Linked DNA regions of Mytilus edulis. The protein of the gene in region 3 purifies or fractionates together with the protein of the main gene of each other region. This does not show direct contact. Links are inferred from orthologs where the notes say so. Each region holds a gene or a part of one and is shown on either strand. Other genes may lie near its edges.

Evidence for each region.
Region 1: the proteins of ribonuclease P protein subunit p14-like (region 3) and ribonuclease P protein subunit p29-like purify together in Homo sapiens (affinity purification with mass spectrometry; 3 studies listed by BioGRID and IntAct, counting the BioPlex papers as one, with this or other methods). This does not show direct contact. The link is inferred for Mytilus edulis from reciprocal best matches to the Homo sapiens genes RPP14 and POP4.
Region 2: the proteins of ribonuclease P protein subunit p14-like (region 3) and ribonuclease P protein subunit p40-like purify together in Homo sapiens (co-immunoprecipitation; 3 studies listed by BioGRID and IntAct, with this or other methods). This does not show direct contact. The link is inferred for Mytilus edulis from reciprocal best matches to the Homo sapiens genes RPP14 and RPP40.
Region 4: the proteins of ribonuclease P protein subunit p14-like (region 3) and ribonuclease P/MRP protein subunit POP5-like purify together in Homo sapiens (co-immunoprecipitation; 3 studies listed by BioGRID and IntAct, with this or other methods). This does not show direct contact. The link is inferred for Mytilus edulis from reciprocal best matches to the Homo sapiens genes RPP14 and POP5.

What each region holds. Positions count from the first base shown.
Region 1 is NC_092348.1:15,792,096-15,800,825, reverse strand, and holds the start of ribonuclease P protein subunit p29-like, read left to right. Parts: upstream 1-5,458; 5' UTR 5,459-5,562; intron 5,563-7,430; exon of another isoform or gene 7,431-7,496; intron 7,497-8,730. UniProt on the Homo sapiens protein: Component of ribonuclease P, a ribonucleoprotein complex that generates mature tRNA molecules by cleaving their 5'-ends.
Region 2 is NC_092348.1:201,992-210,605, reverse strand, and holds the start of ribonuclease P protein subunit p40-like, read left to right. Parts: upstream 1-5,250; 5' UTR 5,251-5,260; coding exon 5,261-5,380; intron 5,381-6,170; exon of another isoform or gene 6,171-6,221; coding exon of another isoform or gene 6,222-6,239; intron 6,240-8,614. Other genes in the region: pyruvate dehydrogenase phosphatase regulatory subunit, mitochondrial-like, read right to left, coding at 1,977-2,107, 2,451-2,692. UniProt on the Homo sapiens protein: Component of ribonuclease P, a ribonucleoprotein complex that generates mature tRNA molecules by cleaving their 5'-ends. Also a component of the MRP ribonuclease complex, which cleaves pre-rRNA sequences.
Region 3 is NC_092344.1:46,637,944-46,646,149, reverse strand, and holds the start of ribonuclease P protein subunit p14-like, read left to right. Parts: upstream 1-4,812; 5' UTR 4,813-4,919; intron 4,920-8,206. UniProt on the Homo sapiens protein: Component of ribonuclease P, a ribonucleoprotein complex that generates mature tRNA molecules by cleaving their 5'-ends.
Region 4 is NC_092346.1:2,263,411-2,271,402, forward strand, and holds the start of ribonuclease P/MRP protein subunit POP5-like, read left to right. Parts: upstream 1-4,814; 5' UTR 4,815-4,894; coding exon 4,895-4,914; intron 4,915-6,474; coding exon 6,475-6,611; intron 6,612-7,200; coding exon 7,201-7,338; intron 7,339-7,992. Other genes in the region: ATP-binding cassette sub-family B member 10, mitochondrial-like, read right to left, coding at 69-271, 1,745-1,948, 4,126-4,378. UniProt on the Homo sapiens protein: Component of ribonuclease P, a protein complex that generates mature tRNA molecules by cleaving their 5'-ends. Also a component of the MRP ribonuclease complex, which cleaves pre-rRNA sequences.

The DNA.
Region 1 (8,730 bases), on a different chromosome or scaffold from region 3:
AAGGGCGAGTTTGGCTAGCCACAAAACCAGGTGCAACCCCCCATTTTCCTTCTTGTACCAAGTCAAGAAAATGTCAGTTGTTATCTTATAGTTCGTTTCTGTGTGTGTTGCATTGTCGTCTGTTTTTTGTTCACTTCAGTTTTTTCTGCTTTTTCGTTGTTTTCCTCTTTAAGTTGATGTGTGAATTTCCATCGATTTAGTTTGTAGCCCGGATTTGTTTTCTCTTATGACAATCGATTTATGCTTTCGAACAGTGGTATACTACTTTCGTCTTTATGAGAATATCTATAAAAGGGGATGATTACATATTTAATCTAGAGATCTTTAGTCGTGGATCTCTTTTCTGGTTGTTAATACATTTAGTTTCAAACACAGTGCGCTCATTGCAAAAGGACATTTTTCGCCAAGCTTTTCTTCGATTCTATTGAAGTGAAATATTTTGTATTTAACTTTCAGCTTGATAAATTATAGTTATTAGAGTACACTTTAGAAGTTGCAAGTGATTACAATGCTTGGAAGAGTAAAAATCGATTGATGACAACATCGGTAAACAACTGTAGCCTCAATTTGCAATCAGATAAACCTTTTGTCAATGTTGAGTTTGAAAAAAATATATATTACACAGCTGAAAAACGAGATACTAATACTTAGATATAAAGGGTGAGTAGTTTCTTTCTGTACAAATAACACACAAACATAAATTGATCTGGCTTCAAATGCAGCTGGATGGCAGCACTTACTTTCAAGTCAGGCTCAGTAAGTGACAGGCTGAAGTTACGGGTTTGTACTAACATGTGCAACACGACAAGGTCTACACGTGGAGCAGAATCTGCTTGCCCTACCGGAGCACCTGAGATCACCCGTAGTTTTGTTGTCACAGTTCGTGTGGCTCAGTCTTTAGTTTTCTATGTTGTGTGTTATATACTGTTGGTTGTGTCTCTGTTCGTCTGTTCCTATTTCTATTTCAGTCATGGCGTCGACTTATTAGTTTTAATGTCCCTTTGGTACGTATCTTTCGCCTCTTTTTTAATGTCATGTTAAGTCATTGTATATCACATCAATTCCACAGCATTTCAAAACTAGGGAAAAGTTGTAGCATACTAAATTTAACGGTATATCCTGCATATTTTACATGATTGAGTAAAATAAATATCAATTTTGTTGCTTTTAGATAAGGGTTTCGGAATGGCCGGTACAGCAATGTTATGGTCAAATAAAATAACAGAGAAAATTACTGTTTTGAATGAGGGGAGTCATAGAATTAGTGCAGTGACACTTAGTGATGATATTTTAGATTTTAATTTGTATTGTGTTTATATGCCGTGTCAAAATTATTCCATGGATTTATTTGAAAGTACTTTGGACGAACTAGGTGAAATTATGACAAAGTATAGTAACTCAACAACTATAATATTAGGTGACATGAATGCCAGTGTGAATAGGTCAAAGGGTTATCGCCAAGATAAAGCTTTAAAGTCATTTCTGAACGAGAAACATCTGTCCGTGCCATAGGACTACCCAGAAGAGCATACATATTACCACCACGGTGGGAAACAATCTTCCCAGATTGATTATATAGTCATATCCTCAACTCAAATAGATAAAATCTCAGATATAAAAGTCATGATAGATGAACCGCTTAACACTTCATCTCATAGGTCAGTGCAGGCAACCTTGTCATGTTTCTTTTCAACAAGAACTACTAAGTCTGGAAAATCGATTTCAACACTGAAGAAAGTGAACTGGAAAAAACTTGACAATGAAAAATATGAAAAATTACTTCATCAGAGACTTAGTTATATGTTTATTGACAATAGTATTTTCTCATTTATCGAAATGAGCTGTGAAGAACTTTTTAATATTTTAACTACAACCGCCTTTGAATGTGCACCAACAATTTCTGTTGGAAAAAGGAAACGTTCATGGAACTCTATGCTGCAACAACTCTGTAAACAAAGCAAGGATGCACATTGGAAATGGAAATCTCTTGGGAGTCCGTCTGACATAAACGACCCTGCAAACAGAAAACGTCTCGATATGAAAAGAGAACTTAGAAAACTCCAAAGACAATTGAATGCAGAAGAGCGACATTCTCTCTATCAGAACATTATGGATGCTCATTCTGGTGACAATGCCACATTTTATAAAATTATTCGCCGTCAGAGGCAGAGTGGAAAACGCTTACTCGACTGTCTGATCATTGATGATGTTCATTTTGATACACCTGATCTTATTCGTGAGGCATGGACAAATTATTTCACTGATTTATCTACTCCGTCTGAAAAACCGCAGAATCAACAGTACCGCTCTCAAGTTGAGCTAGACCGTATTTTGCTTCAAGACATATTGGAACATGAAGATGAAAAAACTATTGAATTTGATATTGGAACAATTCAAAAATGTATTTCTAAAATGAAAACCGGGAAAGCTACTGACCAATTTGGAATTTCTGCTGAACATTTTAAATATGGAGGTGAAAAAACAGCCAAAATACTTACAAACTTGATAAATGAAGCATTTAAATTTAAGCGTGTACCACAGTGTTTCAAAGAAGGTATTGTTTCACCGTTGTTCAAAGGTCATGGAAAACCTATCTGCCTACCAAAATCTTATCGACGTATAACAGTTTCTCCTGTAATGGGAAAATTGATGGAATCGGTACATCTTTGTTTAGAGGAACCTAAACTACTAAAGGTACAGAGCAGACTTCAACGTGGCTTTACTGCCGGGGTCAATCCTACTTTTGCAGCACTTCCCCTGACTGAGGCAATCATAGAAGCAAAAGAATTAGGACAAACATTATTTACTACTTTTGTTGATGCGTCATCCGCCTTCGATGTTGTTTGGCATGCCTCTCTGTTAAAAAGTATATTTAAAAGTGGAATATCTGGACAAAGTTGGCAAATCTTAAATGACTGGTACACGAATATGAGCTCTGCAGTTCGATGGGAAGGCAAGTTATCTACTTCGTTTGCTGAACTCCAAGGCGTCCGTCAAGGCAGCGTATGGTCTCCCTCTGTATACAAACTTTTCGTTAATCCGCTAATAAAAAAGTTAGAAAGTGAAAGTTTGGGTTTTAAAATTGGTAATGTGTTTGTGGGTACTCCAATGTGTGCAGACGATCTGCTACTTATCTCTTCAAAACCTGATGAACTCCAGACTATGATTAGTTATACTTCCCATTTTGCAGAGACAGAAGAATATAATATAAGTAAGGAAAAAACTAAAGTTATGATATGGAACTCATCTTTGAATTGCAACCTTTGGAATCAAATGGAAAAGTTTCACATTGGCTCAGAAACATTAGAAACTGTAGAAAATTATAAACATATTGGTATTGATAGAGACTCCCGTGAAGTAGAGGCAACAAGAACAATTATTGGAAATCGTTTAAAAACTGCAAGACAGACTTCATACGCACTTATGGGCTCAGGACTACATGGTTTAAATGGACTTAATCCAGAGGTGTCATGTAAACTTTGGTCAACATATGTGGTTCCACGTTTGTTATTTGGACTTGAAATTGTAAATCTTAGTGCTAAAGATATTTCCCGCTTAGATATCTTTTGTAATAACTTTTTGAAACAAATTCAAAATTTACCTGCTAGAGCCTCCAACGCTGGAGCTTATCTACTTTTAGGTCAATTACCTATTATTGCACTTCTACACAAAAAGATTCTGATAACGTTTGGTACCATTGCCAGAAGTGACTCTGTCGAAAATGATCTTGCTAAGCGTCAACTGTCTACAAAAGGAAAAAACTCTAAAAGCTGGTTTATTAGGGCTGACAAGATTTTGAAACAATATAACTTGCCGTGTGCCTCAGAAGTTTTACTTAAACCAGAGACAAAATACAAGTGGAAAATGAAAGTAAAAAAGTGTGTTGATAACTTTTGGTCCGAAAAACTGTTTACTGAAGCCAAATCAAAACCGTCATTACGGTACTTAAATATCAAAAACTGTAAAATTGGTGTTGTTAATTCTATATGGAAAAGTGCTGGTTCAGAACAAATGTGTATACGTAAAGCCTGTTATAAGATCAAAATGCTATTGGATACATATATTCTACAGTACCACCGTTCAAAATTTTCAAATGGTCAAAAAACTTCAATTTGTCCGCTATGTGAGGAAGGAACTGAGCATTTAGAACATTTTCTTGTCGTATGCTCTGCCTTAACAAGTATTAGAGACATTTTTATCTCAAAGCTTTATACAGTTATTGTACCAAAGATTGGAACCGTTGCATGGACTGACATTTGCGTTAGTAACTCGAAAATGATACAATTAATCTTGGACTGTAGTCGTTTCGAGTGGTATCATGTGTTAGAGAAAAATGACATAAATTTGGTGGAATCAATCACTAGAAGCCTGTGTTACTCGCTCCATGAAAAGCGTAGTGTGCTCCTTGAAAGTAAATAAACATTTAAAAGTTGTAAGGTTTACCAAACTCATAGGCTGTAAATAGATAAAATTGTTTAAAGATAAATGTATAGTGACTGGAAACAGATGTAAATATAAGGCAACAAAATTTTACTGGATGAACTCCAGGTTCTCCTGATAGAGGAGGGATTTACAGAAGGTAACAGGTAACATTCCCCATATCTCCACGTTCCCCAAGACAAAATTCCTGCATCCGCCCCTGCCCTGACTATACTAGTTATGTATGTCATTGGGGAGTTTAAGCGTATATAAACTCATTAACAGAATCAAATTCGAACCAATTCTTCTAACGACAATGAGGACTTTCGTTGTTTTTTGATATGTGGTGATTCCAATAAAAAAAATCGCCCATATTAAGACTGAAAATGCCGTCCAAACTCTAAGGTATATTTAGAAAGAGCAGTCCATAAAATGTGACATTTTTTTTGGATTAACTTGGAAATCTACCTATGGAAAGGGTAAATATTATGCTTTCAGATAAACACTGTTTGTAGACTTTTTGATTTCTTTTCTCTTTTTAATACTGATCAATACTTTCATTGAGAAGGGAACGGTTATCTGACACGGTTATATTCCCTGACAATTCGCTCGGATGTAACAATCATCGATAGTTTAGAATTTGATGTTTGGCTTATCTAACTATATTGAAAAATATATCAAAATTATAAAATAATTTGAATTTTGACTAAACATTTCTTACTTTGACGTAGACAACTTGACCAACTTCAAGCAGATTTAAATTAACAGGATTTAACCCTTATTACATGTGGCGAGTTGGTTAACCAGTTTGGTGCGAGTTGGTGCGGGGCGATTTTTTCAAAGTGGGGCGAGTTGGTGTGTAGGATTCCATTAGTTAAATAAATCTTTAGAACACTAAGTTCTCTTCTGCTAAGCATATACATGAATATATGATTAAACAAATGGACTGGAGGTCAGTATCTTGCATAATATAGTTTATTAAGATATTTCACATATTTTTCTTTTATTTAATTTTGTCCACATCTATTTTTCTTCATTATTAGGTATTTAGATTCACCTTAATATTGATCCTAGTTTGGAGTGTCATTCCCCATATCTCCACGTTCCCCAAGACAACATTGTTCAATATTTTTGATACATTGTGTAAGTATTCTTGGGTTTCATATGTCTTTTAAGTGATCTTAAAATTTAGAAAGAAAGTTATGATTAGTCTCTGTTGTAATTGTATAGTATGTCCATTATCTTGTAGAAGTCACAGGAGTTTGAAATCCTAATAACAGTTTAAAATATACCGAACTCGACTATCACAGTAGAGCTTCTCTGGAACCAACTCCTGTGTAGAAGTAGAAGATCTGGAATCTAATTCCCAATTCCCATAATTGACCCTGTAATTAAATATTCCTATTTAGTTTTCTTCCTTATGAGGGACATTTTAATTTTTATCATGTTTATTTACTAGCAGACTATATTAATAGCATGCCCTAGATAAATAGAATTCAAATGCATTGTATGATTTAGAAAATTCATAACTTAACTGGATTTTGCTGTACACTTTTTTTCGTCCCTGCAAAATTAACAAACAGTTGAGTTTACCTTGATATGGTCCATTCAGGTACACAGTTTAAATAACCAATTATTGTCAGGTATCTATTGTCCATCTCATGTCCATGTCAAGCAATACAGCTCACTTCAATTATTACCTGTGGGGAAGTTCTCAAACCTGTTTCCCAACTTAGTTTATTTTGGCACCCTCTGGAGGAATGAAAAAAAGTGCACGGCAAAATCCTGGTAAGTTTTTATTTTTCTAAAACATAAAACATATTTGAAATTTATTTATCTAGGGCATGCTATGCCTGAAATTTTTTACAGATGCGCAGGTTTGTCTGTACTCAGAGTAAATTTTGAGGTGAAAATACGGCCATTTTAGCCATAGGGTCCACATGAACCTTTAGAGCAAATTTCATAAGAGCAAAATTAATTTGTTGTTAAGCTAAATCATGAACATGTGTAAATGCTTTTGACATCAGAATTTTTTTTCATGAAAAATTAGGGGAAGGTCTAAAACGCGGAAGTGAAAAATGGGTGTATTATAACTAATATCTGTGGAACCGCTTAAGCTAAATCAATAAATAGAACTGATTCTGAAAGCTATTATAATAGGCTATAAGATAACATTAAACAAATATTTATTAAAATATGCATTTTTACCGAAAAGTTGACCGGAAGTCTTTCTTAGTGTGACTCTGGCAACACATTTTTGAACATAGTTTGTTCAGTAGTTACTTTTAAAATCACAATTCCCTAATGTGGTGGTGCTGATTGTCAATTATGAGAATTTAATTTGCCGAATAATTTATGCAATATAGCTTTATAGTTTTCCAACCACTTGCTAAACATTGGAACGGAATCGATGACACCCCTAAATGCACGAGTGACGTTCACTGAAACCAAAGTTTTTGAAGGAAATGCATCAAACTCAAAAGTTATCTATTGCTTTTGTGCAAATCAAAGGAAATTAATTATTTGGTAGCAGCAATAGACTATAGTATTGCCAATAGTATTATATATGATACAAGACAAAAGTTGCTGAAATGTCCAACAAACTTTAACATACTCTCCGGAGCACCTGAGATCACCCCTAGTTTTTGGTGGGGTTCGTGTTGTTTATTCTTTAGTTTTCTATGTTGTGTCGTGTGTACTATTGTTTTTCTGTTTGTCTTTTTTATTTTTAGCCATGGCGTTGTCAGTTTGTTTTAGATTTATGAGTTTGACTGTCCCTTTGGTATCTTTCGTCCCTCTTTTAACTTTATTCAAATAATTAACATTGTACAACAAGACAACAGAATAAAATAAAATCAAGGGGAAAGACCCATGCCAGAGTAAACAAATATTCAGGCTAACATGTACATGTAGTTGGATGAATAGATCTGGATTCTCTTAACTTGTAAGACTTGTAAGGAAATTTATTTTCACAGCTTGCCTCCTTGACTTAAATGTATTTTTATGAGTGACAGTTTTTTTTATATTTGGAAGTGGATTGCCAAATCAGATCATGATCATTCTTCTGTAAACTACAGGTGACTTTGTAATACAATATACATGTACATTTTGTAAAATTACAAGCCATTCAAAAATGACAGAAATCATTGGATGTCTCTTATTAAAGATTATTGGCCTTAAAGTCATAAGAAACGAGTGACCGGTGAAAAAAAATGTTCTTCCATCAGAGCTCAGACATAAACAAGTCCATTTTTGTTTTTGACTTAAAGAAGTCAAAACATGTATTTATTATAATACAATGTATGTGTTTTCAATTTTAGACTTATTTAAGTCAGAAAAAGACAGACTTGTTTACATGTAGGTCTATTTATGTTGATGAAAAAACTTAATTTTACTTGGTGGCCAAAGTACTCCACCTATGACAGCAAAAACCTGTCTGAGAGTTCACAAGGACTTGAGCTATCTATATTTAATTATTTAATTGAACATCCTTACTAAGCACAGATGTTTTACCTTATTTAGTGTGGTTCCAGGTGGTTGTTTTGTAAGGTTAATTAACATTATCTCCAATTTTTTAGACTCTCATTCATATTTTTCTATAGAAGACAAAGCATTGTCCTTCAATGTTGTCATTATTTGATTTAGATGCATGATTTTTTTATAAATATGCATGGGTCTTGAAGTTAACCAATTTTGATAACTTATCGACTTGTAGGAGTCGACATTTGCAACTTTTTGATTCTGGTCAATTATTTCTTGCTTAACAGTATTTGACTTATTTAAGTCGTATTTTGTCTAGCATTAAAGGGAGACAAATCCTAAAACATACAAATTTAGACCTCTATGAGTCAAAAGCAGATTCAGACTTATTTATGTCTGAGCTCTGACTGTCCAATTCTTGAACCAATGCATACAAACATCATTAAGTTAGTCTTCTGTGCACGAATTTATCATTTTTTTCGTGTAAGTTTCGTATAATTGTCAATTTTTTTTTCAATCGGTCAGTGTTTTTGTGAAAATATGGCAAGTAACTAAAGTTCGTGTTTTGAAGCTGAAATTTAACGATGGTCACCTCAGTGAGTGAGTGTTTGTCAACAATCGACAAAAATCTACAAAATTGAGCACGTGTTTAACATGTAAATTCAGATAATAGTTTATTTTAAGGACATCCATTCGTATTGTGATCACTGGATTTTTACGAGATGGGTCACACTGAGGTCACTTTGCATACGGAAAATATGTCGGGGAATTGCTTCCTGGAAGGAAGCAATTAAAATAAAGTAAACTTCTTCTAAATATGAATAAATTAAA
Region 2 (8,614 bases), on a different chromosome or scaffold from region 3:
ATAAAAAACATATAAAGATAAGTCCAAATACTATTTTTACTAATTTTAAGCTCAAATTTGACTGGTAGCTAGTAACATATGGGGTATTCAAAGAAAACTGCATATGGATATTACCAATGGCCAATATACTTTTTTTATTTTCAATATCATTGTTTTATTTATTCATTTCTAATAGGAAAACTATGTGCTTACCAATAGCCTATTTTTATCAGAGGTCCCTCATTAAATAAAAATACATTAGTCCAAACTTAAGACATAAATGAGAAAATTGTCCCCCCTTTTTTCTTTAAATTGGAAAAGGGCTTTTTTTGGAATAAACCATAATTCTGTGGTAAAATATAGATTATTTAGAGCAATTTATATATCCCTCAGCTAGATAACTTGCTAAACTGGTTCAAAATTGCATGTACAGTGAGATTTTAGAGCAGGCACACCTCTTTTGTTTTAAGTTCAAATAAATTGGCAATTATTGCATTTCAAAGCAACACTTTATGGTGTCTTGTACTGAAAAAATCAACATACCTTTAATGGCATATAAGAAAGAACTGGTTCGCGGAAATTAGGATGTACCAAAACAGGTACATCAGATCTGACAAACAGACAAAATGTACCCTCTTTTTAAAAATTAGTGCAGTCTTTTTATTATTCAAAAATAAAAGTCCAAAAGTGTTCTAAAATGCTCACCAGTCCTTAATCTTTCATTTGATACCAACAATACCTAAATATTCTACATATTTTGAAAGTTACACTCATGCGTAGAAACTATTTTGTGTTAAATATGTACTACTTTCTGGTATGTGCTTTCTGGCCGGGCCTGAATTAGTGGTGTTACACCAATATACAACTTTCGAGTTCGATGCATTTCCATCAAAAACTCTGGTTTTAGTGAACGTCATTTGTGCGCTTAGGGGCGTCGTCACTTCCATTCCAATGTTGAGCAAGTGGTTGGAAAACTATAATTCTATATTGTACGAATTATTCGGCAAACTGAATTCTCAAAATTGACAATCAGCACTGCTGTCATTAGGGAATTGCCATTTAGTACCTACAGAACAACCATTATTTCTAGTTTATCCTGCACAATGAAATTAACTAAGACGCCTGATGAACCTAAATAGTGCAGGGATACAGACGACCCCCTCTATCTGGTAAATGACATCATAAAGGCAGGCATAATTGACGTGTTTCTGCCGGTGATGGATGAACTCGAAAGTGGTCTACTAGATTGCATTATTGTCTCCTTTGACATGTTTGATATCATTAATATATTTATTCACCCTATAAATAAAATATTCTTATACCTAAACTATAATTCTTTGATTGAAAAAAATCATAACTTCAGTGTCAAAAAAATCAGTAAGCGTTTAATAAAATTATTTACTTATAGATATAAAATAATTATTGAAATTTCCACATCCAAACCACATTTTTAGACTTATGTTTATAATTTGACTTTTAGTTAAAAGTTTCTAATTTTCAATGACCTATGCAGATATAAAACTGACATCATTTTCTAACTTTTCTACTGACCTATTCAGATGAAATAATGACCAATGAGATGTTCAGACTTCCCATTGACCTATATAATACTGACCAATGCCATGTCCTACCTTTTCTAATGACCTGTACAGATATAATACTGACCAATGCCATGACCTGCCTTTTCTAATGACCTGTACAGATACAATAATGACCAATTCTATTTTTGGACTTCCCATTGACCTATATAATACTGACCAATGCCATGTCCTACCTTTTCTAATGACCAGTACAAATATAATAATGACCAATTCTATGTTTATACTTCCCAATGACCTATATAATACTCAGACCAAATGCCATGTCCTACCTTTTCTAATGACCTGTACAGGTATAATACTAACCAATGCCATGTCCTGCCTTTTCTACTGACCTATTCAGATGAAATAATTACCAATTCTATGTTTGGACTTGCCAATGACCTATGTTATACTAACCAATGCCATGTCCTGCCTTTTCTAATGACCTGTACAGTTCAGCACTGTACTTGACTAGTCTAGCTGAAGGAACATCATCTCTCAATTGACCAATTAAACCAACAGAATGCCATGTTGTTCCACATGTATATCTACAAAAGCAAGAGTTAAAAAAAGAAAACCTTTTCTACAAATTTTACCATGTTCATCACATTTTACATGATTTTGGCAGTTATCTTGGTTATGTTAAATTCAAGTAGTTGATTTGCAGACTTAATTGGTCTGATATTATTGCCTCCTCAAAGTTAAAGTTTTTTTTAAATATTACAGTAATATTTTAGCATTCACTTCCGGTGTAGGTTATTAAAGTCCCCTGAACTAGCAATATACAACATAATTTCACCCTCTCTCTGCTAGTTGGTAGCTAGCTATAGATGTCTCAGTTACACCCCTATTAATGTTACAATATCCCCTGACCCACTGTAGGCTACTTACTTCCCCTGCTCCAACAGTACAACATCATTCCAACCTCTCTCTGCTAGATGGTAAGCTATAGATGACCCAGTTACACCCCCACCACATATCACCACACGGGCATGCTTTGGCAAATCAACAACTGTCTTCAATGATTTTGATGCTTCGTTATTGTTTATACAACTTCTGTGGAAAGCTCTGTAGAAGGCATCACTTGTACAGCGTTTGTGTAAAGGAACTTTTAAATAGCGGATTAAAGACATACTTGTTGCTCAGTCTGTTCAAGTCATTTTTAACATCTTATAACAATCCAGTTTGTCATTAGTGATACTAGATATTACACTGACTATGTTAACAAAGCAACTTTATCTAATGCATATCCTGGGGTCTACCCATATCACCAGGGTCATCATCTAGGACGAAACTATTTAAGATCTAAAATGTAAATAAACAACGTTTATAATATATACCTGAGGTCAGAAAATGATAATGGATAAAACCTACATATAAGAGTCAATACTCCTGGCCTAGATTTAAAACTCATCGCAAATATTTTGATCTATTTCAGTTAATAAATTGTATTCATATCAAGATTGTCACCTCATCAGACCTTCCTTGACATTAGACAAAATGTTAGATGTTAAGATGTTTATTATGATAGAGATTAAGCCTCATAAGCTAAAATTCAGCTAAAATCTGGTTTTTATATTTTAGTTTCATCAATCTATATATGTCAAGGATATACGATTTTGTAGTTACTTTGACAAACAGACTGATTAAAATAATTCACTTCTTGTCAGAAATGTTTAAAAAAAATTACAGTTTAGAAAAAAAAAATTAAAACTCTTGAAGGGATTTATATTGCCATCATCCCTCTGTTGATAGTTAACTTTACACATTAAATTCAATAATGTTTATTGAACCATTTTATACAAGTACATTTATTAGAAATTAACAAAACTTGGCAGGTACATATATTCTTTTAAGTAAGCTGATTCTACCTTGTGTATGTGGATTGAACTACAGTTTTGATGAAGTTCACTACAAAAAGTGCCACTAAAAACCTCTAGGTATGCATCTTAGGACATAGAAATTTGTAGAAATTGAGAATACCTTCACACAAATATACTTTCTATTTGCCTGAGCAGTTGAAATGACTGAACTCAATAATATTATTGAAATAACAAAAGCAACCTGCATTATACAACGTTATAAGAGAATTTATAACATTGGTTGCAATGAATTACATTGATTTCCCAGTTAAATAAAAACCGATAATTTCACATGTGAAATAACAACTATTTCACTCTCTGACGTCATACAACAATTGGCGTTGTCAAGACATCAATAAGGGGGGTCAAAACAAACTGTGAATGCATAGGGAAAAGATATAAATGTAGTTGCTTACATGTTTTACATTAATTTCTTTAAAAAAAGCCATTTGCCAATGTAAGAAAAAGAATAACTAATTAAAGAATTCAAATATCTAAAAATATTCAACTTGTGACCCAACAACACTGATAATTAACTCATGGGCTGCGCAAATTCGGAAATTAATGTGAATATTAATGACATGGACATGATTTCCTATATATATATGTAACTGAATTTATTATAGGATTTTATAGCTAGGACATGATTTCCTAGGAAAATTAGTCTGGGGACATAGATTACAATCCCCGGACTAAATATATTTATACTAGTAAATTTTGTAACCATGTACTATTTTTTTGGGGACGAAGTCCCAAATTACGGTTGAAAAATCAATAATAAAAAAAAAAATTCAGGAAAATTTCCCCGAATTTTTCATTCTACTAATGAACTCAAAATCCTTAACTTTTTTTTTCAGATCTACTTCCTTTTCCGGTCTTGTTTGCATGAGACTTTGAATAAAATGTATATAAATTCAACATTCAATCATTTTTGATAATTGTTTGATAGGAAAAAAATGTTACCTGGATAACAGCGTTTCTTTGTTTACATTGAATATGACATCATAACTTAAATAACGTCACAACTAAATCCCTAGCAACAGAACCAATATCGGAAACGTTACGGTATTTCCGTTTCTTTTATCAACATGATTGAATTAAAAAAAAAATAATACAGACTTCGTCCCCATTCACAGGTAATGCCTGCCTCATATTACAGACTTCGTTCCCATTCACAGGTAATGCCTGCCTCATATTATACATATTACTAGTAATATTTTTTCAACCAGACATATTTTACCAGGAAACTTATCACTTAAATACAATTACCATGATTACAGTCATGACAGTTAATGTTTTCCTTTTGTTCTGTTGACAAAGTCTAACGTTTGATTTTGTACGTTTTCATGGACTTTCTCTTTTAGATTTTCAATGAAGTATAGTATTATTGTTTATATTTTCATACAGGTCAAATTGAAATCATTTCTTTACACACTCCCAGTGACTCTGTGTGACACTCAAAAAAATACAACCCTACACTTTCCTTTGTCTCAGAGACAAAGATGACAAAGTTGATTTTCAGAGCAAAACTCATGAATAAAACTATTATTGACTTACTGTTTAACACTGAACTATATATAATACAGAGAGGTTTAACTAATATTGCTGTCTGCTCTTTTTACAGTCTCATGGAGGCATAAATTAAGGCATGCGAATTCTGGGCTCAAAAAATATTTTCATATGTCTAAAGAACAAAAAAAACAACAAAACTTATTCTTAGATTTGAGAATATGTATAATTTTTAATTTCCTGTAAATTATTAGTAATTTTACATTGTTGATAAAAATATGAAAACTTATTTGTAAGCAATGTTCCGGTCTTTAGGTAATTCCGAAGAAAATGGCTGCGCCCATAGAGAAAAGTTTACCCATAGGAAAACTTGTTTTTGAAAAATCCAGCTTTAAAAATGAAAAGTCTAAACATGAGGAGTTTATAGAAGATCATCATTTCAATTATGCAGTATGTTGACTAACCAATAAACACACCAGCACATGTTCAATGTTAGCTGGTCAGATACAATGTAAAAAAAAAAGGGGGGAGGGGGATTTAAGATGGACAAAAATGCTGTTTTTACACCTCAGAGTACAGACTAACCTGTGTAGTTGGAAGAGTTTGAAGGCCTGGCATCCACCAGATTGAATCCTGGTTTGTTGGCCCTTATGTACAATCACCCTGGCACACATACATGTATTTGTCCGCCTAGTCTGAATAATTAGGCCTTTCAAGATGTATAATTATTTGGACTACTTTTCGCCCTAATACCTGTATGGCCAGGGTCCAATCTTCATGCCTGCCAAATGTCACTATTTGCAGGGGATTTCCAAAACAAAAGTTCCCAAATGAAAATTTTTGAAGAGCAATTGTTGAGGGGGGATAGGACCTTTATCAGGACTCTGGGATCGGGTGTTTTTAAGCTCTGGATTTCGGGGTCCGGGAATTCTTTTTTTCAAATTTCGGGATCCGGGATTTTACTTAATTTAAATTCGGGACCTCGGGATTTCGTGTTTTAAGCCCGGGATTTCAGGATCAGGACCCCTCCTACCCCCCCTCATTGTTTTCCACAATATAAAACGAGGCATTGGCTAGGACGGTTACAATACATGGGAATATTATTGTTACTTTGGAGACTAATTGCCGGAATGCAGGGTTGGGCATAGGCACTAGCCTTCTGTCAATAGTAATAAAATTTTGGCAATGGGAAGAAAATAGTGTCCATGGCACATGCACTAGACATGCTAAAGGTTTGTCTACGGTTACAAATTGTGTTATTGTTTCATTAAAGCACTGCAAAGAAGTATTCATGGGACTAGTAATACATGTATGTACACTTTTTCCATGGTCGGGTTGTTGTCTCTTTGGCACATTCCCCATTTCTCAATTTTACATTTGTATTAAAATCTGATATTTACAATATTTCATACAATTTTTTAAAATTTTTATTTACATTGAACTACAATTTTACGAAAGGGTTTTCTCATTGACGAAAGTATTTCAAATCAATTTCGCCACTTTAATTTTTAAAGTGTAAAAAAATTTCGCAATAAAAACTATAAATCTACCTGTCTTCATGTTTTCGACAAGTTTATGACCTCCAGGTAATTAACATTTTCAACAGGTGTTACAAGTTGTGATTACAACTAATCCGCTTATCTCCATCGGATGGGTCACTAATCCGTTAATTATTAATAAACCCCATAATTGAATGACCATCATAATTATTTCACCAGGAAGATCAGTCACTCGGCATTTCAACAACCAGGAGTATAGTTTCGTCATTTAATAAAAAAATATAACAACCCGGACAGTTCGCATTTGGATTTCAATATTTCTCAAACGATCACAATTTGAATGTCGTTTGTCGTAGATTTGTCATTCGAAAGCATTTTCGTCATATTTGATTTAAATTTTCATCAAAAACTTTCGGCAATTTCAATTTAGAATAAGGAACTTTAATGTGTTTATTCAAAACTTGCACGAGTTAAACAGGTGCTTCCTGTATTGTGATCTAGGCATGCGTGAAAGTATTCCTTTGACTATTTATATACATTAAAAACGTAAAATACGCAATCATTTAGAATCAATTAAATGAAAGAGACAAATATATATCTCTTACCAAAGGAATTTAAATCGAAAAATGTTAATTTTCTGATGAATCCGGACTCATTTTGAATTTATTATCCAGGTGTCACTTCCCGTTTTCGTTTCATTTTAAAACCGAAAGTAGTAAACGTGATCTATTGTTGATTTGTTTACAACCTCCTTTCAGTCATTATAATAGTTCCACAAAGGATTTTACACATTTCCAACTTGATAGAAATGATTTCCAAAAATCGATTTAGACCTTTTATAAGGATTTTGATTATGAAGTGAAATAATCAGTTCAAGTTAATTTCTGCTGTGATTCCTTGTTTAAAAAAAAAAGAATCCATCTTTTGTTGATCAGGAATGACCCCTGGAACAAACTGAAGAGAAATTGTGAACTAAATTTCTGGATTCCATTTCAGAATCTTTCATAATAATGACCAATACAGTCAACATGGTCAAATCATACAATAACTGCCAATCATGCTGGTGCCTCAATCCCTTAAAATCTGACAAAGTCAAAAGATGAAGCTAGTAATATACATCATTGGTCCCTTGCTTTTACACAAAATAAGGTTGATTTTAATAGAGTTCAAAAGTGACTAAAGCCCTCAAAATCCTAGCTTAAACCCTGCAAATCCAGTAAGTTGTTTTTGGAGCATATTTTAGTCCGATGCATTTTTAATGAAATCACTCTAAGCAGCCATGCAACACCAACCAGTGATGTGGCAACTTGCATGCTCTGTATTCCTTACCGTACACCAACCAGTGATGTGGCAACGTGCATGCTCTATTCTTTACCGTACACCAACCAGTGATGTGGCAATGTGCATGCTCTGTATTCCTTACCTTACACCAACCAGTGATGTGGCAATGTGTATGGTCTGTATTCCTTACCCTACACCAACCAGTGATGTGGCAACATGCATGCTCTATTCCTTACCCTACACCAACCAGTGATGTGGAAACGTGCATGCTCTGTATTCCTTACCCTACACCAACCAGTGATGTGGTAACGTGCATGCTCTGTATTCCTTACTGTACAATTCCATTCTGCACTATCTCATTTTGCCATGCTTCAGTCATGTCAGTTGGAAAATATATTTGTACTCTTGCGATATTTTTTTTATATGAAGCATGTGAGGTTTTTTATAAATACATTTCAATTGTGAAAGTAATTAATGTTGACATGGTTGACATTTGCCTACAGGTTGAAACTGGTGGAAACAGTGATTTTCATTTTCAAAGTCCAGATGCAAATGTATTTTGGGATTGTAATTTCGTTCTTGTTGGTGACAGTACATGCTCTATTGACACAAATGATTGAACAGTTCATGTATTCATAAATAGTGTACATGTTGTAGTAGTATCTTTAAGAACATCTAAATAATTGATACTATTTAAACATTATTCGTTTTATAATTATTACTAATACCATCTAGAAAGAATTAAGTATCTAAACTTCAGAAGGTTTAAGTTTAATAAATCTAGCATACATTGCAGTCTTGAATGTAACAATAATGCAATGTAACCGTAGACACAAATATTATTGTTACATTCATAAATAATCGATTCCTTACCCTACCTTGCATTCCGGCAATTAGTTTCCAA
Region 3 (8,206 bases):
CAAAGACCATACAATATAGCAAGCTATAAAATAACCATCATATTGCACGTGATGACAGAAAATGAATACATATGATAGATCCGTGTTTTACTTCCTCGGATACTAATAATAATAACTATGTTTTTGTAACTATTTCCTATTTTCAAAACTACACATGTACAGTTATGCTACAAATCTACAAGTCCCTCAGTTTATGGCTACACGTGCTGATCTTATCTATAGTCATGCATATTCATTAGCTATGTAGGCGTGTCAAAATCGTATCATACGCGATAATGACCAGCCAGAACACACTGTAATGATTTCATTAACCAGTATTACAGTGAGTTGACTGTTAGTGTTGCTCTCCACCAATTGCAACTCATTCAAAATTTTGACCAAATTGCAATTTGTTTTATTAAAGCAAATTGTTCAACTGGTCAGAAAAATGAACAAATTGTTCAGTCAAAATGTGAAAGTGCAAGGTGATAAAATAAAATATACTTACAATCCTATAAGACTTTAACTCCACTTTCATGATGTTGTGACAAAAATTAGTTTATCAGTTTGTATAGTTATATTATATTCATTTCCATGCTGAAGGGGAACTGTTTATTTTGAATTGCTATTAAATTGTTCAAACTAAGCTTTCATATAGTTTTTCTTTCTAAAAGTCTTCTATATTTATAAGAATCAGATATCATTTTAAATAAAACATCATATATTCAGTAAAATATGTGTGAAATAACAATATGCTATTGATAAATTTTCAGGGGAGATAACCTAAAATATTATTCTTTTGAATAAAGACTTTTTGAAAGAAAAGTTATTATCTCCCCCATGGAAACTTCCTACAAACATATATTGCAATTTTACACATATTTTACTGAATATGAAATGTTTTAATTCACATAATGTCTGATTCTTATAAATATAGAATACTTTTTTGAATTGCTATTAAATTGTCCAAACTAAGCTTTCATATAGTTTTTCTTTCTAAAAGTATTCTATCTATAATACTAAAATTACGAGGTCCAATTTGTCAGCCGTCATCACGTAAAAACGACGAATAAAAAAATTCAACTTTATTTATGACTAATATAGGACAATGCTGTTGATTAAAAAGTACTCCATTCCAGGACCTTTTGTTTTCCAAATAATTAATATTATCAATAATTGATAAGTTCCAGTTCGACGGGTTCAAACAGAAAGATTTGAAAGCGGAGAAAACTGTGTATCTTATAATCGGCATGACTTTATCAAATGACAATACTAATACTAAAATAAGGCTTGCGCATAGTTATATACTTTAATTCAGTCACGGACCTGCGATATCACGGGTGTGTTCTAGTATTTATAAGAATCAGACATTATGTGAATTAAAACATTTCATATTTAGTAAAATATGTGTAAAATTGCAATATATGTTTGTAGGAAGTTTTCATGGGGGAGATAATAACTTTTCTTTCAAAAAGTCTTTATTCAAAAGAATAATATTATTAGGTTATCTCCCCTGAAAATTTATCAATAGCATATTGTTATTTCACACATATTTTACTGAATATATGATGTTTTATTTAAAATGATATCTGATTCTTATAAATATAGAAGACTTTTAGAAAGAAAAACTATATGAAAGCTTAGTTTGGACAATTTAATAGCAATTCAAAATAAACAGTTCCCCTTCAGCATGGAAATGAATATAATATAACTATACAAACTGATAAACTAATTTTGTCACCACATCATTAAAGTGGAGTTAAAGTCTTATAGGATTATAAGTATGTTTTATTTTATCACCTTGCACTTTCATCACTTGGCTGTGGTTTTCTACAGCAGTTGGTTCAAATTTCTGACCAGTTGAACAATTTGAATTTAAAAAACAAATTGCAATTTGGTCAAAATTGTGAATGAGTTGCAATTGGTGGAGAGCAACACTAACAGTCAACTCACTGTAAAAAGATAAACATAACATCCCCCGCCCACAAATTAGAAATTTCTAAAAATTTCTTACTGGTAAATGAAATCTATTTATATAAAAATTATGAATAATAATAATAAAAATTAAAAAAAAATTGAAACAATCTCTAAGAAAATACTAATTGTACTTTAATATACACACATTTAAAACTTGAAAAAAAAATCATAAGTTCTCATAAAATAATAATTCTATGTGTTAAATTAAATAACTTCAAAATTTGTAGTCAAAAAAAAAAAAAAAAAAAAAAATGTGACCGGGATTTTGTTATGAGGGTCAAAAATTGGTGGCCAGGTGGAATCAAATGATTCAAGAGATACGAAGTATAATAGGGGCCAAAAATTGGTGGCCGGGATTTGTGAATTGTTTGAACGTTGAACAACAGATGTAGTAGCGCAAAAGATGTTATGCTAGAAATAACCTATGTGTTCATATATTAATATCTATTTTGATTGAATGTTGTAAGAATCTTTAATCTCAGTCGACAGTGATTTAAGAAATAATTCATGGAAGCCATAGATTTGTTGGAAATTTACACATGGCCTGGGCCGTGATATTCGAATTTTATCCTGAGCGTTAGCGAGGGAAAAAATTAACGAATATCACGGTCCAGGCCATGTGTAAATTTACAACAAATCTATGGCTTCCATGAATTATTTCGATTCTAATAGGACAAATAAGTTCATTCAAATACTGAAGCGAGAGTGGTAATGCCGTGTGTGAAGCTGTTCTTTTTTACTCCTTGTTAGATAAAGCTCAAATATTCTCATAAATATTTAGCTTGCATTGATTATTTCGTTAATATCGCTGGAAAAAATATGTTTAATTCTCAAACCCAATATTTCCGATTTTTAATTTACATATTTTCTCGTAAGCTAGCTACCGTCAAATCCAAAATTGACATTTTGTAACGAAAGAGCTGCCATGTTGACTCGATGAAATCAAAGAAAAGAAAACAAAACCTACCTCAGAATTCCATTTTAATACAATATTATACGAACTTCGATGGTTACAAAAAAAATAATATTTTTGTGACATTGTCTAAATATTGTTTTTATACTGCAACTTAAATTAGTATATTAATAGCTTTTAAAATCGTAACATAAATATCAAGCTTATTTTCATCCCTTAATGAACCCCTGATTGTAGAGAAAGTGTTCCATGATGAAATTGACATTGCACAACATAGCTGTGTTACTATATTTAGGAAATAAACAAAACTAGTTGCATTATATTAATTCTTTTTATTATGCATCCGAATAAGAATAAAAGTTCTTTTGTCTTTTGTTTTATTACAATTTCTAATACAACAAAATTGGCAAAGCGTTTGCAAAGTAGATTCAAATACATGTGGATTTACGTGGGAGGATGAGGGTCGTGACCTTTTTAGCTAACTGGATGAATCAGACAGGTGTTAGTAAAATTGACAACTTCGTGCAATGTGAAATGTCGAAGGGGATTTTCGGTTAACAAAAAAGAAAATGTATTTTTTTAATAATTAGAGAAACAGATTATTACATAGTTACTCGTGGATTATCGGATTTATCCCATCTTGATAGTTAAATTATCAATTTTAAGTCCTCGCCGAGGCTCGGACTGTTAAATTGATAATTTAACTATCAAGATTGGATAAATCCGATAATCCACGAGTAACTATGTAAGAATCCTTATATTTAAAAACTGCCGAAGTAACAATAAACCAAAAGGCAACGATTAATGAACTAGTAACACCATTGAAGAAGCTAGCTGCATGAAAAAACGAGTTTATAAAAGGGTATATGTACACACAAAACCAGAAAACTCACTGCCCTGAGTAAAATGAACTTGTTACGATATAATCAATCAAAGACGCATTCAAAATACTACAATATTATAAGTCCGGATAAATCGTCTTACATGTCTCTTGTAATATCTTATAAATTAATTGCTCTCAGAGTAATTGCTAGTTTAAAGTCAATATTAACAGATATATATATGTTCAGAATTAAAGAGTTTCTTTAAAAGTATATGAAATGCGTGACATTTGTTGTTTAAATGGAGACGAAAGATACTGTGGCAAACTTGGACATTCAAGAGCAGAAGACAACACCATGGCAAGAGAAACAACCAAAAGACAACGTTACAGTATACAAAATTCATACTAAAGACTGAGCAACACGATTGAAGAAGCTAACTGAAAATGGTCTACCCCATTTTAACCAGGGTAGGTGCTCACGGTATGCCATGATGGTCAACATCCGTTAATATAAACATATATCCGTGTATTATATATATATAAAAAGAAGATGTGATATGATTGCCAATGAGACAGCTGTCCACAAGAGACCAACATGACACAGAAAATAAGAACTATATTATATAGTCAGTCACTGGGATAATATGGGTTAATATCTCTGAAACCAAAACATTTAGAGCAAATCTGACGAGGATAAAATTGTTTATTAGGTCAAGGATTTGTATAGTATACAAATCCTTGATTAGGTCAAGATTTATAAGCATTTTTGTTTATTCCTTTGTTGTTGCTTATTGATTCTTTGCCGCTATTCCTATTTTTTGTCGCGTATATTCTTTAACCCCCTACACAGGCACTCAGATCTCAGAAAAAAATATTCCTACTAAATACCTTAATATTACATTATATAATGTTATATTAGATATTTAGGGGGGGGGGGGGAGATTCTGAGATAAAATTGCATACATGTGGTCTTCTATTTTGTAAACCCCATACAACCCTCCTTTAACTTTGAGATGTTAACAGACAAAACTCGTTTTATCTTGTAATGACCGGGTATTAACCGTTCGCTTAAATATATATATGGGTACTGTGTTCTTTACTAGCAACGCCAAAAATATTTTACCTTTCGGAATCAATCTAAGGATTGTTCCGAATGGAATAAATAGGACGACACGTGAAATGAAAAATGATCAGATAAATATTGACGAGTAAAGACAAACACAACAGGTTCGTGACATTCTACAGATTCTGGAGTGATTGAAAATATATAACTCAGTTATTTTGATAGGGACGGAATTAGGTGGAGATATCGTAATCTAAAACAGAATTGGCGGTCACCGTTTCGGGGTATCGGGTCCGTTCGCCCTAATAACATGTTCGCCCTGGCTCTGTTCGCCCTAAGTTCGTTCGCCCTACTTTTAAAAAAGAACTATCAATGAACATAGTAAAGGCAAGGATTTGAATAGTTAGGGCATCAAATTTGATAAACTTATTCAGATATTAATATGATATATATTCTTGGAATTTATGTAAACACATAATATGCGTATCGTGTAGTCATCTGTTTTGAAGACAAAATTTGAAACTGGATGTTCTGCAAAATTTTATATAAAGAGCAATTCGGCACTCATTTCCAGGTTTAGTCTTTTTTTTATCAAATTCACAGGAAATCATCGGCATATTTAATTTTTGTACCTTTGATAGTGTTTGAATACAAATTGTAGTAAGTGCACTTGCTTTATTTAGCATGAAATCATTTTGAATTTACGATTTAGTGTCTAATCTGCGCAAGGATTTGTATAGTGTCACTATACAAATTTATCCTTGATCTAGGGAAGAGGATTTTGACATGCATATTACATAATAAACAAAGCATATGTGTTAGTAGTGACTTTTTTGTTCAGAAATTAAATCAAGTTTTGATCTAATTTTAAAATCATATTTGACAATTAGCTGAAAGACAGTTGTTATGGAATTTTAATTTATTTTCAATTTAGTTCTAGGCTTGTGATCAATAGCCAGGTTTGAATTAAAAATATAGGTGAAGAGCAAGGGTCCGGAAACGGTCATATATGCCAGTCTTGACCTAAACTGAAAGTATTTTGTCCTAAATGAGTAACTGGGATTTAGGACAAATTTTATTTTTTTACAGAAATAATTTCGGTCATCCAATGTCTTTTTGTTGAGATTGAGTTTCTAACATTGTCTAAATCGCCATTTTGAACTTATTTTTTGTTTGTTATCCTTTTCCTGTAATAAAACTGCCACTCCAGTAAAGTGTTATAATCCTGAGGGCCCTCCTAATAACTATAGTAATGCCTCTGGGAAATATTGGCTAATGATCGCTAATCTCTTTAACTGTGTACGTTTTTAATTAATTTTTTTTATTGATCACGAGCTCAGAACTAATATTTTAAAGAAATTAAAAGTTCATAACAACTGTCTGCATTATTTTATTACTTTTCTCAGCTTAGACAATTGTCAATTCTGATTTAAAATTAAATTAAAATTAAATTAATTTACGTAGAACAAAATGTTGTTTCACTACAAACACACATGCTTTGTTTACTAATACGCATGCTTGAAATTCTATTCCGCAAATTAGACACTAAATCGTAAATTCAAAATGATTTCATGCTAAATTAAACAAGTCCAACTATTATAATTAATATTCAAACACTATTAAAGGTAAAACAGTTAAAAAGCCGACGATTTCCTGTGAATTTGATTAACAAAACTAATCCCGGAAATGAGTCCGGAATTGGTCGTTTTACTATTGTCGTAAAACATCCAGTTATAATTTTGGCTTCAAAATCGAAAGAAACGTAAGCGAAGTTTGAGAAATTTATCGTTTTGAGTCATTAAAATCATTTCATTTTTAAACTGTTGCCTTCCTTTTATTGCTCAAGATCGATTTTAAGGAAAATGGTAGGGAAATTTCTGAAATAAATGCGATGCAACAGTTAAACAAGTTTGTTAATGCTACGAGTATGACTGTATGAGCATACACACAATCTTTGTTTGAAAAAGGGCACCAACTTTTAAGTTATCCCAAAATGACCGAAATTAGGTGAAAAAATTTCCGGATCCTTGGTGAAGAGATTAGTGATCATAAGCCAATACTTCCCCCAGGCATTTATATAGTTATTAGGAGGGCATTCAGGATTAAAACACTATACTGGAGGTGTAACACCACTAATTCGGGCCCGGCCAGTAAACACATACCAGAAAGTAGTGCATATTTAACACAAAATAGTTCCTACGCATGAGTGTAACTTTCAAAATATGTAGAATATTTAGGTATTTTTGGTATCAAATAAAAGCTGAAGGACTGGTGATCATTGTAGAACACTTTTGGACAATTTTGAATATTAAAAAAACTGCATCAAATTTTAAAAAGAGGGTACATTTTGTCTGTTTGTCAGATCTGATGTACCTGTTTGGGTACATCCGAAGATCTGGGAACCAGTTCTTTCTTATTTGCAATTAAAGGTATGTTGATTTTTTCAGTACAAGACGTACACCATAAAGTGTTGCTTTGCAATGCAATGATTGCCACTTTATTTGAACTTAAAACAAAAGAGGTGTGCCTGCTTGAAACGGAGGAATTTAACATAGAAAGCAATGGGACCATGAATTAGTGGTGTACTTCCTGGAGGGGCAGTTTATTACCGGAAAGGGATAATAAAACAAAAACAAGTTCAAAATGGCAATTTAGAAACTCAATCTCAACTCAATGACAGAAATTATTTCTGTTAAAAAATAAAATTTGTCCTAAATCCCAATTCCATGTTTAGGACAAACACTTTCAGTTTAGGACAAGACTGGCAAATATGACCGCTTCTGGATCTACTCAATCTATTCTCATTCTATGTTTATATCGGAGTAAGGTCCCTTTGATTTGCATAGTAACTTAATTTCAAAATTGTTAATCTTTGCTACATATCAATAGATTCCTTTGTAATATTTTCCCTTGAATTTCTTTTGATATATCTGCATACATACATTGTATATGAATAATCAGCATGTTCCAGAAAGGCAGTGTCTGCGCGTAACCGCATGTGGGTACGAATAGTCAAATTGCCGTTCTAGGCTGCACGTACCCACATCCGGTTTTCTATTAAAATGCCATCGGATCGAGAATGAAACGTGAAATATATACGGAAATTATCGATAATATTGGGATTTCGTGTAGAAAGAGTGAATAGTATGAAAAATAATATTTTCAAATTGTATTTATTAAATAATGATACATAATAAACATTGCAAAATTAAAAACACAATGATGTAAAATGAAACTGTACAGTCCCTGTAAAAGAAAAACATGATAGAAATTAATACGATTATAAAATTTAAATGAAAATTTAAAGAATAACATTTTAATAATTTAAAAATATACCCATATGATATTTTAAAACAATCTTTTAGTAAAATGTAAAACAGAAACTGAAATTTTAAAATATATAAAACTACTAAAATTAAAGCTTGAGTTTATAAAAATTAAAGAAGCAAGT
Region 4 (7,992 bases), on a different chromosome or scaffold from region 3:
CTCTGTATTTTTATTGACCTAAAATATAATTTAGACATGTTAAATTACTGTTAACATGGTAAACCTACCATCATACCAACTCCACCTGTGGCTTGTGCGACAGCTCGAAGTCCGTCAGATATGTTTTGAGTAACAGACTGGCCTACAAGAGTTGTGTCTGCAGATAATCTATTCACTAACTCGCCAGTCTTTGTTTTATCAAAGAACCCCATTTCTTGACGCATTATTGATGAAAAAAGTGTTTGTCGAAGTCTATTAATAATTCTATTTCCTGAAATCAGATATAACATCAAAACATGAGTCAGAAGTACATCTATTCTGACAAAATTAAAACATAAAGTAAAACAGGGGATTTGCCAACTACTTAAAAATCTGTTGGAGAGTTATTTCTTTGGCATTCCTACCACATCTCCTTATTTTAAATAAATTCTGAAATGACTCTTAGCACTCTCAAAAAACTCTCTTTGTATTCTTATCTATATACTGTGAATTCATTTATTTTCATGGGTATCAATTTTCATCGATTGAGGAAAACTTGCATTTACGGGGATATTTGATTACGTGGTTTTGCCAACTTCTGCATACAAAGACAGTCTGACTATCAATGACTATATAAAAAACTTGTAATTCGTCAAACATTTGAATACATTGTTCACTTGTATACTTGAAAACCAACGAAAAATTGGTATCCAACGATTAATAATAATTTCCACAGTATTGTTTATAATTGAGCATCACATTATTCTCCATTCTTTTAAATCTTTATCACAATTATTTCTTTTATATTCTTAAGAAAACAGAGATTACGAGATAACAATTGAGAGCATATTATTTAGTTATATAGACTTAAAAGGAGAAAAGCAGTTGTGCCAGTGCATCCACCTAATTGCTATTTATTCCATTTCGGATAAGTTCTAAAATTACATCTTTTTCATCCAGTTGAAGCTATCTGGGACCCTGTTTAAACAATTCACCATGCATGATACTTTTTAATGAGACCTGTTTAAACTACCGTAAATACTTCAAACAAAATATTTTTTTAGTTCAATTTTAATTTCGAAAAAAGTGGATCATACTATATCAAAGTTTCTTGATGATCACTTTCTAAAGTTTTTTCTCACTCAGCTCACTACTGATGACCTCCATTTTTCGGCCGGTGACCCAAACAGGAAGTTGTATAAATGACTGTTTTTCCCGGAATGGACTAAATAGTGATAAGGTGTATTGTATTGATGGTTACTTGTAATGATTTAAATTATCTCCCTTACTCCAAGGGTCATGTAAATGCATGATTATTGATGTTTTTCTTCCCTTATTTTTTCCTACCTCATGTTCATTTATTGATGTGTCTTCATAAATATCAATTCTATATGTTTATTGGAGCACCATATTATTCTACAGTCTTTAATTTTTTGTATGGCCCATAATTCTCTATTCTGTTAAGTGTTCACTCCATCCAGACCCTCATAGATTCTAGCAGTTTGTGTGAGTTAATACACCTTATTGCTATTTGTCCGTCATTACTGGATATCACACAGGTTCCCGTAAAATTTTGACGCCATAAAACAAAATATCTGATGCCACAATGGAAAAGTGATTGTTGTTGACGTCAAAAGTTCAAGCGGCCTCGTCAGCAGGGATTAGCGATAAGGTGTATTATATTTACATGGTGAACATGATGAATGTGTGCACTATTTTATTGATTTGGCATACAATAAAGTCAATCAAATTTCCAAATATTTACCTGATACTGACATTAAATAAACTCTTCCAAAGTTTGCTACGGCACCAACAATAAATACACCAACCATTATCTGACAGAAAGTAGTAAGTTTCTCTTTCATTTTTTCTTGTTCAGATGGTGAATAAATAATATCTATAACTTTTCCAATACAAAATGGAACTGCCATGGAAACACCACTTGATATGATCAATAAAACAACAGCACCTAAAAAACAATGAAAAATGATATAAATACTGGCCAGAACAAGTGATATTATTCTTTGTGTTCTTTAGGCTTGTTTGTCTAAAAGTAAAAGAAACCAAACAATATGTTTATGATTGTAATTTGCATTTTCAAATAATTTATTTCATGTGCAGTTGGTTTTTTTTTTGGTAAAAACATTATTTGATGAGGATATATATCATGTTTATCTAATTATTGCAATTCTCTAGCAAATGAATTTATAAATCACATACATGTAGCACCTTTGATTTTTACCAGTGGTAAGTCATATACATGTAGAACGTAAGCCATTTGGATTCCTCATTTGTTCCTCCAATTTTCCTTGCACTCTTAAACAAGTTCAAATAGATTTCTCTTTTTCAAATTTCAAAATGAATTTATAGAATAAACTTGTTTTGATCTTAATGGTCAACATTGAAGACCCATTGGTGACCTTCTGTTGTTGTCTGCTCTATGGTCGGGTTGTTGTCGCTTTGACACATTCCCCATTTCCTTTCTCAATTAATTTTTTTAAGTGAACACACTTATACAATGTAGTACAATTTCTTAACATTATGTGTCACTTAGTAACTTAAACAGCTGCATAAATTTACATACATGTATGTTTTATGTATTTTAACATTTTTGTTTAGGGGCCAGCTGAAGCTTGCAGGATTTTTCTGCTGTAGTGAAGACCCTTTTGTGCATGTTGTGGCCTTCGTCTGTTTTTGTGCTCTTTGTCATATTCCCCATTTCCATTCTCAATTTTATTTAAAATGTAAATGTTTATGTGCATGATAATGATGACAGTTCTCATGTATTTTATTTTCATCTATGTGTAGAATAGTCAGTTTAAACATTACTGATGAGCTGTATGTTGTACTTTTTTGTATATGAATGGGTTCTAAATAAAGATTATGATTATTTACAACATGTACAATGCAAACTAGTCTAATCTGTTTAATAAATGTTTTATAGTACACATGTCCTTTTGTGTCGTATTGTTACACCACTGTCTCGGGTTAGGGCGAATGTTGGCATCAGATAAAAAGTGCAAACCCGCTGCTTTTCTTAATGCAACTGTCCTAATGAAGGTAACAGATGTTCAGTGGTTGTCGTTTGTTGATGTGGTTCACCATTGTTCATACGTGTTTCTCTTTTCTGTTTTTTTTTAACATACATGTAGATTAAACTGTTGGTTTTCCTGTTTGAATGGTTTTACACTAACCATTTTTGGGGTTTATAGCTTGTTGTTCTGTGCTGAGACTACTATAACACAATCTCTGTGTTATAGTAGTCTCAGAACTTTTCTGTGTGAGCCAATGCTACATGTTGAAGACTGTACTTTGACTTATAATGGTTTACTTTTAAAAATTGGGACTTAGAAGGAGAGTTGTCTCATTAGCAATCATACTACATCTTCTTATAAATACTGATTAAATAAAGGTTGTTATTATTATCATTCTACAGTCAGAGCTCAGACATAAATAAGTCTGAATCTGCTTTTGACTCATAGAGGTCTAAATTTGTAAGTTTTAGGATTAGTCTCCCTTTAATGCAAGACAAAATACGACTTACATAAGTCAAATGTTGTTAAGCAAGAAATAATTGACCAGAATCAAAAAGTTGCAAATATCGACTCCTACAAGTCGATAAGTGATCAAAATTGGTTAACTTCAAGACCCACGCATATTGATAAGGAGGTCATGCATCTAAATCAAATAATGACAACATTGAAAGACAATGCTTTGTCTTCTAAAGAAAAATATGAATGAGAGTCTAAAAAATCGGAGATAATGTTAATTAACCTTACAATGCAACCACCTGGAACTACACTTAATGAGGAAAAACATCTGTGTTTAGCAAGGATGTTCAATTAGACAATTACATATAGATAGCTCAAGTCCTTGTGAACTCTCAGACAGGTTTTTGCTGTCATAGGTTGTGTAGTTTGGCCACCAAGTGAAATTAAGTTTTTTCATCAACATAAATAGACCTAAACAAGTCTGTCATTTTATGACTTAGATAAGTCTAAAATTGAAAACTCATTTTATGTCAAATACATGTTTTGACTTCTTTAAGTCAAAAACAAAAATAGACTTGTTTATGTCTGAGCTCTGACTGTTCTATCCAGTATGGTGCACATTTTGTGCCTTATATGCTATCCAGATAACACTTGCCTGACAACTTCCATCTCTCTGGTTTTGCAAGAGAAAACAATCTCCTTATTTCATATGTCTTTTTCTTTAAGTTGTCAGGTGCCTTTTTATTGGTAGCTTTGACATTAGTAAATCTTTTTAAAATATGGAAGACTTTGGGTTTATCACATTTCAACTTCAAAAATTGTCTACCAATAACTGATGACCTATGTCTGATATTATTAGAAGTCAATCTTTGACTTAGCAAGATACAATTTCTCATTAATATGGTCATATTTATTGCATCAGATCTCCAAACTCTTGGGTTTATGTGTATCCGGCTGTGTATTACGTAAGATTTTTCAATAGTCTGACAGATGGACCACTGGTTGACCGGTTATTTCATGTTTTGATATTTTTTTACAACACTTCTCTTCAATAATGTAAACAGTAGACATCTATAAACTTGATCATGATGATTGGCCTTAAACTTCTTTCCTTAAATACAAAAATAACATGTTCCAAATGTTGACATTCATGGGCGCAGACATGTTGGATAGACATAAATTGTGTATTCTAGTCCCGTTACTTGCACGGTCATATCTTAAAATTCTAGTGATGAAATTACATTTTTTTTAAAATTTTATGAAATATCCTTCCTCATTTAATCATTTATAGTTTATCCTATTTTTCATAATTGCAATGGATGGCAAATAAAAGTTCAAAATTTAATGATCGGAAACTTTCATTCGTAATTTAACTTATTTCACAAATTTGCTAGAGACTGAAAGCTGATAAAAATAAAAAGAAGATGGTTCGGTTCAAAAACAGGTTCATATACATTAAGTGAAAGTGATTAAGCAATTTTCAGAAGGGGGACCCAGGTTAAAAAGTTGTGTGTGAATGTGTTCTAAATATATGTGCCCATTCAAATGCATTTATCATCCAAAAAAGGGGGGTCCAACCCCTGCCCCCCCCCTTTTTGGATGCGCCCTAGTCCAAATAATTATGACGTCTGGCAAGTCTTTTCCTGGGACGCCTGCCTATGACGGTCCTAGGAAGGGATCCCAGAAAAAATTTAAATAGCCTCGCCAATTTTTATAATTATTTGGACTAGATGCATCAATTCTTCTATACAGTTGACATGACAATTAATTTGAGGGTACAAATGAATTTTGCCTTTAGATGCCTAATGTTCATTTTCAGCTACCTTTAGGAGGGTAGTAATGCCTTTTACCATCAGGCCTCAAACGGTCATTTGCGAAAACCATGACAACCGTTAGCATCAAATTGGTTAAAATCTTACTGGGATTCGTCAAAATCTTAAAGTGATTCGTCAAAATCTTAAAGTGATTCGTCAAAATCTTAAAGTGATTCATCAAAATATCTATATTGTGATTCGTCAGAGGTCTCAAATAATTATCGTTAACATCATTTTTGGAAAAAAGATAACGAGATGCTTCAAAATCAGTCTATTTTTTTTTATCCTGGAAAAGAAAGTGTACACTTTATCGTCAATGCAACAAAAATTATGTAAGAATTTTTACTGTTATTCATCATGAAGGTACCCCATTACTACCCTTCTTTAGCACTGCAACTATTACAACTGTTCCAAATAAAACAAGAAAAGAAAGAAGTCAACATTATAAACATGCATGCATGGTGATGTACAACTGTACAATGTATAATGATCAGTGTCAAACTGTATTTATAGATTATGGTTTAGATGACAAACGTTCACTGTACCAGCTCAAGCGAGAAAATGCGATAGAGTTGGGATGACCAATGATGATCTGTTCATAGCTATTTTACCAACAATGTTGTCAATTTCATTGACGATGGCACATGCAACCATAGTTTTTAGCAATAATTATTCATATCACTGTACTGTTCCGAGAAAGGAAATTATCAGTCACAAAGATCAAAAGAAAGTTTTGTAAAGTAGCAATAAATACATACAACCATTTTTCACAACAATTTAAGTGTTAAGCTAGTACTGAGAAACCAATTTTGTTTCTCGCAGAAATTTATGAAGTCTATGTATAGTATTTAGATTTTAGAAAAAGTTGAAAAATACAGAGGTCACTTAAAAAAATTACTAATGCATAATGTATATATATTTATATCTAGCCAAAAAAAAAAACCAAAGGGATTAAAATTTTTAGGAAAAGTTTGAGATGTGAGTAGAAGGTATCCTTTCAACAGCTTAGGTTCTCTTGCATTGGACTATTACTAGTATATAGAAAAAAATGTAAAAAGAGGGTTCACCATTGTATTTGATCAAATTAACATATAATCCTGAACATGAACAACTTTCAAAACACATTCTTTATGATTCAATGAATTTTACTCTACTAAAAAAAAATTGATTTTACTTTAATTATATTTCAGATATTTAGTGTGTGAAGTTGTAACAGATGGCAGGAAACCAGAGTTTTCACAGATGGACTTTCTTCGTTGTTTGAAAGATACAGTATCAAAATATCATGGAGATTATGGCACAGGGTCTATTATGACTTCATTATTTGGTACATAAATGTTATTGTTTGTGTTTGCTGTTGGATTGCTGTCTCTTTGACCTTTACTCAACATATTTCAAAGTCATACATAAGAATTTCTGTATTCCAGTTGCATTTTCTCACTGCCATTTTCAAGTTTCCATTAAATCAGGAAAATGTATGAACAAACAAACTGATTCAGTTATTGGAATAAACTGTAATGAATATTTCAGTTCTTTGCTTTACTTGTGTAATTGCATTCTTCTCTAAATAAGTAATTGTAATTGTAATGTAAGGGATGTTAATTGATTTTTTTACATATACATGAGGGTCTACACAATCCAATGTCAAACTGAATTGCTATCATTAACTGTTTAATAGCTGCTATTTACTAGTTCTTCATATATTTAGCAGTCTTTCAGCTGTTCTTAGCATTCAATCTAAAAGCAGCCAAAACTGCCTAATTTCACCATTTATTAGCAAGGCAGGGGTGTCTTTGTTTTTGTATTCTTTATTTTTTTTGCTCATTGTTCCATTCTCTGTAATTTTGGTCCTTTTATCTCTATTTGGATAAGGTACATATTTGTATCATTAAAACATGAATATTCATTTATTTCAGTGAAATATTTTAACCCAGACACTGGGATCATTATCATACGAGTTAAACGTGGATGTCATCTGATGATCCAGTCAACTTTAACCTTTATGACAAAGGTCAAAGATTGTGAAGTCATGTTACATACTGTTCACATAGGAGGTAAATATTTGTTAAAGTATATTGGAGTCTTTTTATTTGTGATAGAATTCCATTTGAATTTGATTCCCCTATTTGCTTTGAACATGTCCGTCGCAAAGTGGTTAATAAATCCTTTATGTGACATGTGACGGTTGCCATGTAACCATATCATTTTGACTAACAATACAATCAACACCTTTATTAGTTAGTCCGTTGTTGTCGTTAGCTATAAAATGCAATCAGCTGATTATTGATTTTCTGTCAAAATCTTAACGAGTTCAAGGTGAAGAGTTCAAGGTGAATTCCGAGTACTGTCTGATCAGGGAAAGTCAGAGAAACCCGAAAAAAGTAAATAAACAAGATGGATAAAAATAAATTGTTATATATATTTCTTTCGCCAAATTCTTTCACAAATGACAAATTTTAATCGACACAATTATTATTTTTTAGCAAATTGTGAAAATGTTGACGGCCAGCTGCAACCCTGTACCCTAATATATAACTACCAGTACATTAAATATGAATCAGGCTGTCTGTGAGAGACATAACTACAGAAAACTTCTTTTCATCATATCTTTGTAACTTTCGACAGTCCATTATTTCATTCACAATTTGTAACCCCATAATCAAAATGTGACAAACAACAGACATATGGAAAATATTGAATACCTTTTA